Schizosaccharomyces pombe: one gene and its partner. The protein of the gene in region 1 interacts with the protein of each later gene in a pairwise test. Each region holds a gene or a part of one and is shown in the gene's direction. Other genes may lie near its edges. The genes, in order: stn1 and pmt3.

Evidence for each region.
Region 2: the proteins of stn1 (region 1) and pmt3 interact in a two-hybrid assay, tested with the Schizosaccharomyces pombe proteins (3 studies listed by BioGRID).

Annotation. Positions count from the first base shown.
Region 1 is NC_003423.3:1,160,910-1,165,262, reverse strand, and holds stn1 (telomere cap complex subunit Stn1), read left to right. Parts: upstream 1-2,180; coding exon 2,181-2,289; exon of another isoform or gene 2,290-2,344; coding exon 2,345-2,443; exon of another isoform or gene 2,444-2,573; intron 2,574-2,597; coding exon 2,598-3,367; 3' UTR 3,368-3,778; downstream 3,779-4,353. Other genes in the region: protein mim2, read right to left, coding at 378-421, 771-945.
Region 2 is NC_003423.3:2,504,743-2,510,908, forward strand, and holds pmt3 (small ubiquitin-like modifier pmt3), read left to right. Parts: upstream 1-2,102; 5' UTR 2,103-2,151; coding exon 2,152-2,280; exon of another isoform or gene 2,281-2,374; coding exon 2,375-2,524; exon of another isoform or gene 2,525-2,573; coding exon 2,574-2,648; 3' UTR 2,649-2,817; coding exon of another isoform or gene 2,818-4,461; 3' UTR 4,462-4,916; coding exon of another isoform or gene 4,917-5,258; 3' UTR 5,259-5,308; coding exon of another isoform or gene 5,309-5,403; intron 5,404-5,421; 3' UTR 5,422-5,454; downstream 5,455-6,166. Other genes in the region: SPOM_SPBC365.04C (RNA-binding and ribosome biogenesis protein), read right to left, coding at 1-256; splicing factor Slu7, read right to left, coding at 565-1,704; tmf1 (TATA element modulatory factor-like protein), read right to left, coding at 2,818-4,461; Der1 family protein, read right to left, coding at 4,917-5,258, 5,309-5,403, 5,455-5,692; kin17 (KIN17-like protein), read right to left, coding at 6,043-6,166.

The DNA of each region.
Region 1 (4,353 bases):
TAGTCACCCCATTAACGTCGTTTATTAATATGTCGAGGCTGTCGTAGATGCAAATGTCTCATTTTTACTAAACAGTTTGTTCATTTGAACAAAAAGAAAGGAAAAAATAATGAATAGTATCAATAAGCAAAACGATGAATACACACATTTCCAATTTTTTTTGAAGTTCGGATTCAAAAACCGTTACAATTTAATAAATGTCGAGTACATTGATTTATACAGTAATCAAATATTCATTAATTCTTATTCAGATCATAAAGAGAATTTCATCCGAGAACGAATGGCACACTATGGGTTTCATCACACAATATCATAATAGAAACAGAAACAATAAGTATTAAACCAGCGAATGTAAGAAGATTCAGAAATAAATCTTTTTAATTACTAACCAAGCGCCTCCGTTCTAACCAGCGAGCCCATGCTAAATCCAAGGGTTAGTATACAATAAATGTACAGAAGTTTAAGGATGTAGAAAAGGTTAAGAATGAAAGACTAATAGAACAGTAATGGAAACAAAAATGTTTAAAAAATAACGAAAGATGTAAATGTAGACCAACAAGCAGACCATTTAAAAACAGTTTATAGGAAGAAAAAGCTATAATTCAAGCTGATGGAATAAGAAAATCAGTTGTGCTCAATCTTTCTCCAAAAACGGATTTTTTTGCTCTATTATTCAATTATTTGCAAAACTTATTTCCTCTTTGAGAAACTAAAAGCAAATAAAAAAAATCCACCATCTATTCCTATTCCTTTAATTTATACTAACTTACCATGAAATGCGAATTTACGACCAAGAAACTTTCCTAACAACGGGAACACCACCAAACATAAAACTCGTTCCAATTGTTCAATGGAATCCTTTAAATCATCATCCAATTCACTAGAATAGGTATCATCTTCTCCATCTGAAATTGGGTCAATTTCAAGATCTAAAACTTCGGCCATGTTGTTTTCACTAAACTGACTTTAGAATAGTTCGATTGAACTAGCAACGTTGTATTTAGAATTTAATTAAAAAATTTTTCTATTGTCAGCAATCGAAACCCCTTTAACGTATGCTTAAAAGTGTATTATTACCAAGTATGGCTCTGGTGAAGGTCACATAGTGGCTGTTACATTTATACATAGGACATTTGTCGAAACAACATTGATCATGTGAGACTAAATTTTGAAAACAGGGAGTATATTCAGCAAAAATAATTCATATTCACTGATGATAAGAGGTTATTTGTTTCTATATGCTTTACCTATGAGTTTGGGTACATTGTTTGTATTCTTGGTATTGCTAGTTTATTCAATTTCAGATGAAAGCTGAGCAGAACAGCCGCTGTCATGCTATTCGCGGATACCCTTTGTTTCACAACAAATATTTCGACCTAAGAAAAGCCTTTATTTTTGCCATCCTTACCTCTAAGTGCTTTGTTTGGTAACACTTTATTGAAGAATTGATAGACCGTTATAAACATAAAACAAAAAAAAGTTGGGAGTTTTGGTTTTTTTTAGTTACTCTTTTAAAGAATGCATTTTTCCACGAGGTTTCTTGATCGAACACAGTAGGAGCAATATAATTTATCTTCAAAACAGTTGAATGTGAAACATCAATAACTGAAGAAGTTTGGTTTTCATACCTCCTTGCGTATTCCCTATTCATAAATAAATCATATAATTTAGAATTATCCGGTATATGAAGATAGGAATTTGTGTGCTAGAATTTAGCAAGATATAAACAATGCACATTGGTGTGACATTTACAAAATTGGTTGACGAATTCTGTACTCTCACTTTTTGTCAGTAGACGTCTTTTTTAGGATCTTCTCTCAAATTCAATTATAACTAAGTTGCGTGAAACCAGACTAAATTCAATTGATAAAGTTGTTTAGTCAATTAGCATTTTTTATAACAGCATCAATGCATGTCCTAATAAAGAGTTAAGATATTTTTTTTCCTTTTAATCTTACTGTAGAAACTTAAATAGTTATTATCCTCGTAGAATTGCTCTATCCTTATTACGCGCACTCAGGAAGATGAAGACTTCACAAACACCAAATCATTGCTTAATTTTCGAAAACGCTGCGATTGTTGTTGATAGTTGACCAGAAGCATACTAATTTTTATTTACTTATATACTTGAAAAATTGCAAATCATATGGTTGAAAGTCTTTAAGGGAATGACCTAATAAATGCTAGAAAATGAAAATCAACTAACGCATCAATTTCCTACATTATCAAGATGGAACCCCATGTTTATTAGCGATGTTCATAAAATTTCATTTCATCCACATTTACAGCGTAAGTGCTCTTTCTGTAAAATAAATATCACAAAGTGATTCTTACAAATATCTAGGATACATTGGCTTCTGGATGGGATTTCCCATAAGATGGATTCAAATTGTTGGCTATATTGCGGCAATTGATATTTATGAAGGAAAGCATGTTTTAACAGGTAACGAATATCAGCATTGAGGCAATAAGCAGTTCCACTACTGCATACACGACTCATTTAGTTGTTGAATCTAGTTAAGGTTTTTTATAAAATCAACTTTTGAGAAGCATCTGCCTCTATAGCTCCCTTTTTTCTATTTCCTAACTGAATTTAGTGGATGATTGTAGCGGGATGGTATTGCGTGTCGTGTTTATTATTCAAGATGATTTTTCAATGTCAAAAAGAGCAATATCTATGTCTCCTGGAAATGTTGTCTGTGTCTTTGGAAAGATAAATTCTTTCCGATCTGAGGTTGAATTAATTGCTCAGTCGTTTGAAGAACTTCGTGATCCAAATGATGAATGGAAGGCATGGCAGAAAAGGATGAGATACAAAAAAAATTTAACCAAAATCTCTAAAAATCACCATTCAATCATTCGCACACCCAAGAAATCCTATTTTCCTAAAGATCATGCGAAGGAGTTACTTAAGTGCATAAGGCAGATGTGTAAATTAAATGTGCAAGCTGGATTTACAATTGAAGAACTCATTATTTATTTAAAAGCAAAAGAGTTGCACCTCCCACTTGTTCATATATTCAACGTCGAAAATGAAATAGTAGAGAACTGTGATGGAAATCACATACTGGCGCTTAATTTCTCTTTGCAAACATTACTACAACATGGGCGGATTGTGAGAAAGTCAAATTCAGTTTATATGCTTGTCACTTCAAAAGACATAATACGCTTTGTGATTCCTCTGATGGCAAGTGGTCTTCTCGAAGCCCACAAGGTTCAAAGCATAGTGAGAGATTCCAACCCAATGTTTATCACACTCCCTCTTTCTGCGATTGCTAAACACATTTGTCAATTTTTGCTTCGTACAAAAGGGAAATGGAGGCAAGCAAAGAAATATACCTGGGTGCGAGATAATCAGTTTGTATAAAATGAATTTCCAGTTTCCTTTAATATCACATTGACGCGGAGATTTAATTGCCTAAAACTAAGTTCATTGTTCTATATGCAATATTACAATCCTCTATTAATTTAAGAATATGTTTACGGAAACAGATCAATAAGTACACATGGGTATATAAGCGGTTAATCTGATGATGAAATAGATTTACATGTATAAAGCTTTCTTTTTTACTTTTGAATTGATCAGTAGCATCATTGCATCAAATTTAATTAATGGTCAGCACCAATTCATCAGCTGCTTATACAATCTAGGGTAAAGAAATATAACTAAGCATGATAATAAGTTACTCTTAATTTCCTGAAGTTCAAACTTGAAATGCTTTGCATCGCTTACTGGCCTAAGCATCGTACTTCGATTATTATAGTTGGAAGTCATGAGGATAAAACTATGTCTTTTCTGATCATGTCGTAAAATCTAGCTGCTCTTCATACTGAAATTGGAATATTAGATAAGATTTAACTACTAAAAAAAAAGATTAAGGCATCCGATTGCCAATTGTATAGATTGCAATGATGCTCCTTACTGCTTTGAAGTTGAGTAAAAACGAGATAAGCCCATAAACTTATGCAATTTATTTTAGTTGTTTTTAACTACTAAATTGACACTTCATATTGGTGGTTGTTATTTTTTTTTAGGTATCGAAGAATTGCTTATGGTCGTAGAGTTATGTCAATCTATTAATTGATCCAGTATTCTCGCACTGGGAGATCACACATCGAATAAAATTTATTTCGTTTCAATAAGCAACAATAAATATAATAATTGGTTTCTTTAAGCTCGTATTATGCCGCAAAATCTATATTTCAAAATTTAATCCTCATAATAAGCTACGCATAAATTATACTAAATTTTAACCAGGCAAAGGTTGTTACGCGTGGCGCAATGGTAGCGCATCTCATTCCTATACGACCTGATCGTTGTTGGGGAGTGAATTACGAGAAGGTTGCGGGTTC
Region 2 (6,166 bases), 1.3 Mb from region 1:
TCCCTTTCTGTCGTTTGCTTTTCAAAGTTTTATGAGGGGGATTTGAAACGCTATGTTTATCTTTATCATTTGATTGTGCTAGTTGCTTTTCTGGTAGTTCATCTCTCGATATTTTGTCAGCGGCTTTCTTTTCTAATTCCTCATTCTTTTGCTGTACTTTCTTCTCATGCTCTTCCAAACTTTGCGACTTTTTATCAAATTTTTTGGAGCGGTATTCCAAAGATTTTAATTTCTTTTTCGATAGTTTCGAAGACATTAAATAAAAATTTGATAATGGAGAATTGAAGGTGTTCAGTACAAAAGTTCCTCTATCCATAGGCAAGAATATTTTAACGATGTTTACCCTTCTGACAGAATGTATACATAACAAAGTTTCTTAAAACTTCGTTAAACAAATCTGGAAAGTACAATTGCACCATCGCTAGACAATATCAGAAGTCTCTTGTTCAACGAAGTAAGATAAAATTTAAAGAAATAATAACAAGTTAATTAGTGTTATATTTAGAAAAATGTCATTGCAGTACATTCAGTCATTATTAGATATTATTAGATATATAAATAAAATCATAAGTCCCCTTCAACAATAACTAAGTTTTCGGATTCTTCATCTGTGTTCGACTCTCCTTTGCTTTTTTCAGATTTATCAAGAATAGCTAAATCCGGAACTTCTTTTTCGTTATTTTTTGCTTTTTTGTCTTTCACTTTAGAGGTACCATCCCCATAACGATCTAATATGCTTTGATCAATATGTTTCTGGGTAGTCATACGAGATGCCTTGTTTTTTCGAAATTCCAGCTCACCAGCTGTTGGATTGGCTACAACATGGACACGAGTTCCAGAACGCTCAGCTTCCCAGGCAAACATTTGTAGTTTTTCGAAGTCTTCTTTTTCACCACCAGATGCTTTGACAAAGCCAGCACCTCCAGAAGAATCATCCACCATATGATATCCAGTTTCGTCTCTCATTGATCTGGATTTGGGTTCATATTGTAAGTTTTTATTGTCAGCTCGCAAATACGCCACCACATCTTCTCGCATTCTAAGGCTTGGTGTAGTTATGGATGCAGAATCTTCGGAACCAGAAACGGTGGAATTTCTTGATGCTTTAACAGCAGAATTTTCTGACGCATCCCTATTCTCTTCCCCCTTATTTTGTAATTCGTCCAATTTTTCATATCTCTCAATAACTTTCTTATAATCCGTGGCATCATAGCCATTCCAACGATCACGTTTCGCATCCCATGAAACGTTGATATCTTGAATAACTTCGTCTGCTTGAATATCTTCTCCTGTCCAACGAGCACCCCGCTTTCTTGGTCGCTCCATGCAATCTTTAACTTTATGGGACATGGCTCCACAATTCTCACAAGCACCCTTTCGATATTTTGTAGCAGCAGGTCCTAATTTTTTCCCTCTAACGTACCAAGAGCCTTCAATGGAGGAACGACCACCACTTGGTGTCTCTTTCTTGCCTATCCTTTGATGGGCTAATCTTTCGACCGCATCATCATCCTGAGCATACCAAGGAGCGGTTGAAATGAATTTAGGAATATAGGGATTATCAGCATCTGGATTATCCATAGGACGACTACGACGCTTCTGTGCCTTCATTTCACGCATCGAAGGTCCAATGTCTGTTGACATAAAGTTTTTGTCCTTAGAATAATCATAATTAGATTGAAAAGTATTATTCATATAAGACATTTTTAAGGTAAATAAATAAGAATATTAATGCTTGATTATTATGCCAATTAATTCGAAAATATTAAAAAGATTCAAGTAAAGGTTTAACACCGATGAAATCAACAAAATTGTCTTTTATAACAAAACGATATAAACCGGCTTATTTATCGACGGCTTTATTTTTATAGTTCGACAAATATTTGCTAGCGTTTCAAAAATTCTTGTAGATTTGCAGTTTACGGTTTTCTAACCATTGTTATAAGCAGAGTAAACGTAGTAAGCAAATAATTAACGTAGCTTTAAGACACAACTAAACAAAATAGTGGAGTAGATTTATACACGTTATATTATATACCACATTACGCTATTCTTGCTTCAAACAATCACAACAGTCATTCCTGATCTATGAGAATTTGATTGTACCCCCCTGTACCTGTATATTCGATTTTATATAGTATCTGAGAAAAAATGTCTGAATCACCATCAGCAAACATTTCTGATGCTGACAAAAGTGCTATCACTCCTACCACAGGTGACACTTCGCAACAAGATGTCAAACCATCCACAGAGCATATCAATTTGAAAGTTGTCGGACAGGTGTGTGCTACAGCAAGAGACTTTCATGCTATTCCTGTCATCTTTTGCTTTCAAAAGTCTTTAATGCACGAATCGTGAAGCTAACTTGATGTAGGATAACAACGAAGTATTTTTCAAAATTAAAAAGACCACTGAGTTCAGCAAGTTAATGAAGATTTATTGTGCACGACAAGGAAAAAGTATGAACAGCTTACGTTTCCTTGTTGATGGGGAACGTATTCGTCCAGATCAAACACCTGCTGAGGTAAGTTTTAAACTTTTACAACAAAAGCCGGTACTAACTATACATTTAGCTTGATATGGAAGATGGCGATCAAATTGAGGCTGTCTTAGAACAGTTAGGTGGTTGCACCCATCTATGCCTTTAGAGTACAAGTATTTTTAAGCTGTTTCATATACTCAAAACTAATATTTTGATTTTGCCAATACGTTTATCATCTCCAGCATCGTCGCTCAAAATATTTGAAAGAATCAATGAAATTAAATAAAATGATTTATATTAAAATTATTTTTTTTTAATACAAGTTTTTCCAAACGTTATTGCCTGCCTGCCAATATATCAATTTGACTGACATAAAGTTCACGCATATCCTTAATGTCCAGCTCTAATTCAAACACTTTGTCACTTTTCTGCTTAAGTGTTACCAACGTACTGGCATGCTCTTTTTCGAGGTTCTGTAATTGTAGTCTAAGCTCTTCCACTTGCTTTTTTGAATCTTCATTTGCATCATTATTTACATAGGCATCAACAATTTCTTGACGGGCCTGATCTCTTTGGATTATAAGTTGCGCTACTTGCTGCTTAGTTGTTTGTAGTTCGGCTTCTAATCGGCGAATTGTGGTAGCAAGTTGCTCCAAAAGACTAACATCAGGAACATTCCCGGCACCTTTTTCAAGATTGCTGGGTGTCCCTGATGTTGGTGATATTGCCTCAGATTCGTATAGGCTAAATTTTCTTGAAGCTTCCGAAGGAGGAGAAAGAACTGCACTGCTTATGGAAGCATACCTTGACTGAGCGTTTATACCCAACTTTCGCGCTTCTGATGCTGATCTGGAAATTCTGGATCTCTCTTCTGAAGGGGAAGGAAGATTATCCAAAAAGTTTTCTAAAGCATTCCGTGTATCGCTTTGTGGGATTTCTGAAAAACTCAAAGGAGATGGTTGCGGACTTGTTGAAATATTTAAGGGATGTAGGTCGTCAAAATAATTATCTTTGTCATTTTCTAAAGCTTCATCACGCTTGCTCATAGATGAAGGTATCGGAATAGCATTAGTAGGGGTAGTGGGATCTTCATCTTCTTTGGTGACTTTAAGCGTATCTACCTTTCCAACCGTATAATCATTATTTTCAGGAATTCCTCCTGTAGTGACAATTTTTTTAGGCTTAGATTTAACATTACTTCTTATATTAGTGTCAAGCTCCCTTTGTAATCGGTCTAGTTGTGTTTGTAAGTCCAAATTTTGGGCTGCTAAAGTATCATTTTCCTCTCTCAATGTCATATTAAAAGCCTGAGAACTCCTTATTTCTTCATCTTTCCTTTCACAAAGTTTCTCCAATGAATCTAACTGTTTAGACATTTGAGATACTTGATTCTGGAAAGTCTCACGTTCCCTTTCCCAATTCTTTGCACCATGCTCGGATTTCTCATAAAGTTCTTTCAGGTCTTGAATTTCCTTTTTCTTCTTTTCATCTTCACGTACCCATTGACTCCTTTGAATCGAATACTGGGTTGAGAGGGTCTCTACTTGACGCGTAAGACGAACAACCTCCATGCTTTCTACTGTAAGTTCTTCCATTTTTCTTTGAAGATCCTCCTTTTCTTTCTCTAAAATTGATATCCTCTTTTCAAATTGAGACTTTTGTAGTTCCAATTGTTCCTCCATCTCCTTTGAGTCAGATACCTGTAATTCCGGAGTCGCTTGTTTCTCGTCTAGGCGCTTCAACTTTGTTTCAGCTTCACTTAAACTCTTTTTAAGTTGCTTAATTGTATTGTTTAACTTTAACTCATTTTTTGAAAGCGCCTGTCCTTCCGTAAGAAGCTTTGCGATAATCTCATCTTTTGATTTTGCATTTCCTCGTGACATCTCCTCAATCTGATTACCGTCTAAGACTTTGTCAATACTGGTTTCAACATTTGACATTGCTTTCTTAAGAAAACCTCCCCATTTTGAATTCTCCATGCCTGCTTCACCGTACACTGGCTGGTAGTTGATCTGTGTACTCTACGTGGTATAGGCCCACTTTACTTTATGAACGTAAAATAAAAGATTTCTAAGTGCATATGCCTCGCACGTCAATTTGTACATATGTTTACTTTAGTCTATTGGTGAAGGATAAAAAAAGAAATTTAGATAAGAACATTATAATAAAGGGCTACATTTCAACAAATTAGTGTAGTTCGGATTTTTAGCTATCAGCATATGAATGAGAAAGCCGTCGTGTTCGTACAGGAAAGAAGTGAAATATTATTCATCAAAAATTTGAAATAGTGGAACTCATTGATGCATTATTGAAAATTGTGAAAGTTTGCCTACCAGACTCGACAGGTGATGAATGGAGTAAGAAATATTGATAAAAATTTCGAACACGTATCGACTGTTTTTAACGCACTTAATGAAATCATCAATATGAAAAATTAAGTGCCTAACTTTTTGCCCTTCCCAATGAATGTTCCAGACACCTTTTGGGAATTCAATTTGGGAGAGTTGGAGCGATGGACAACAGGAGTGTGAATCGAATCAAAAAAATTGACGATCATTGCAGAGATAATACCAAAACCCAATACTACTAGAGATGGAAGACCTCCGGTTAGAAAGCTGAAGCCAAGAAGAACATATGGCAAATATTTGCCTTGAACATGAAAACCAAACAAAAACTGGATTTTGGAAAATGAGTTAAACAAAGACCAATTATAAGCAATGGCAGCGGCAAGCGATTGATTTAACGCGCTTCCAAGTCCTGAGATCAAGGAAAATGCCTAAAGAGAAACGTTAATAAGCATACTTTAGACCTTCAAATACTCCTTACATCAATTAAAAGAGCAACTTTAACTAAATAAATAATGTATTTTTTTGCATTCCTAGCAAAGACAAAGTTTTCCAGGTATGTGCTATATTGGTAAACTATTGACAAAACGTTAGAATTTAAATACAGGTTTTAATGGATTTACGTACAAAAATAAATGTTCATGATAAAATCAAATCCAGTTCCAGCATAGAGATAATTAGTAAATAAACGATACCATTGTTTCTGACGAACGACTAACGGATAATGCAGAACTAGCATCGAAGGTGAAAGAAGTTGACATAAAGTTAAAATTGTGGTAGCTGCTGTTCCAAGCAGAATATACCTTGTTACAGGAGGTATTCTAGACAGCAATTCTTGTATTTGACCGGAAAATTCCGAAGCCATGTCTTAACTGATTATGTTTGTTCAGGCAAGGTTGTATACGGAATTGTGCTACAATTACTAACGTATCGAACATTTTCATATATATGTACTATAGTAAAATATAAGTTATTAAATCTCTAACTTAGATCAAGTGAAAGCAAAATTATATGAAATTTGGAGCTTTCATGTATTTTACAGCACCTTCAAATCAAGTAGACTAAGCTAGCAGAAAGGCTACTAAATAACACATATACGGTTAAATAAGCTACATTAAAAGTAAAAGTACAAGTACAAGCGTATTTTTTTTATAAATAATAAACCAATAAATAAATTCTCACTTTTGAAGCCTTTTAAAAACGTCAATTCTCCGGTTAGAGCTTTATATTGCGTCTTTTCTCTCTCATTGTTTCTTGAGCAATAATGTCTTCAACAGCTGACCGTGGCCTTTTTACATTCTGCCCTTGATCTAAAGAATCCTTATTGTTCTTTTTACGG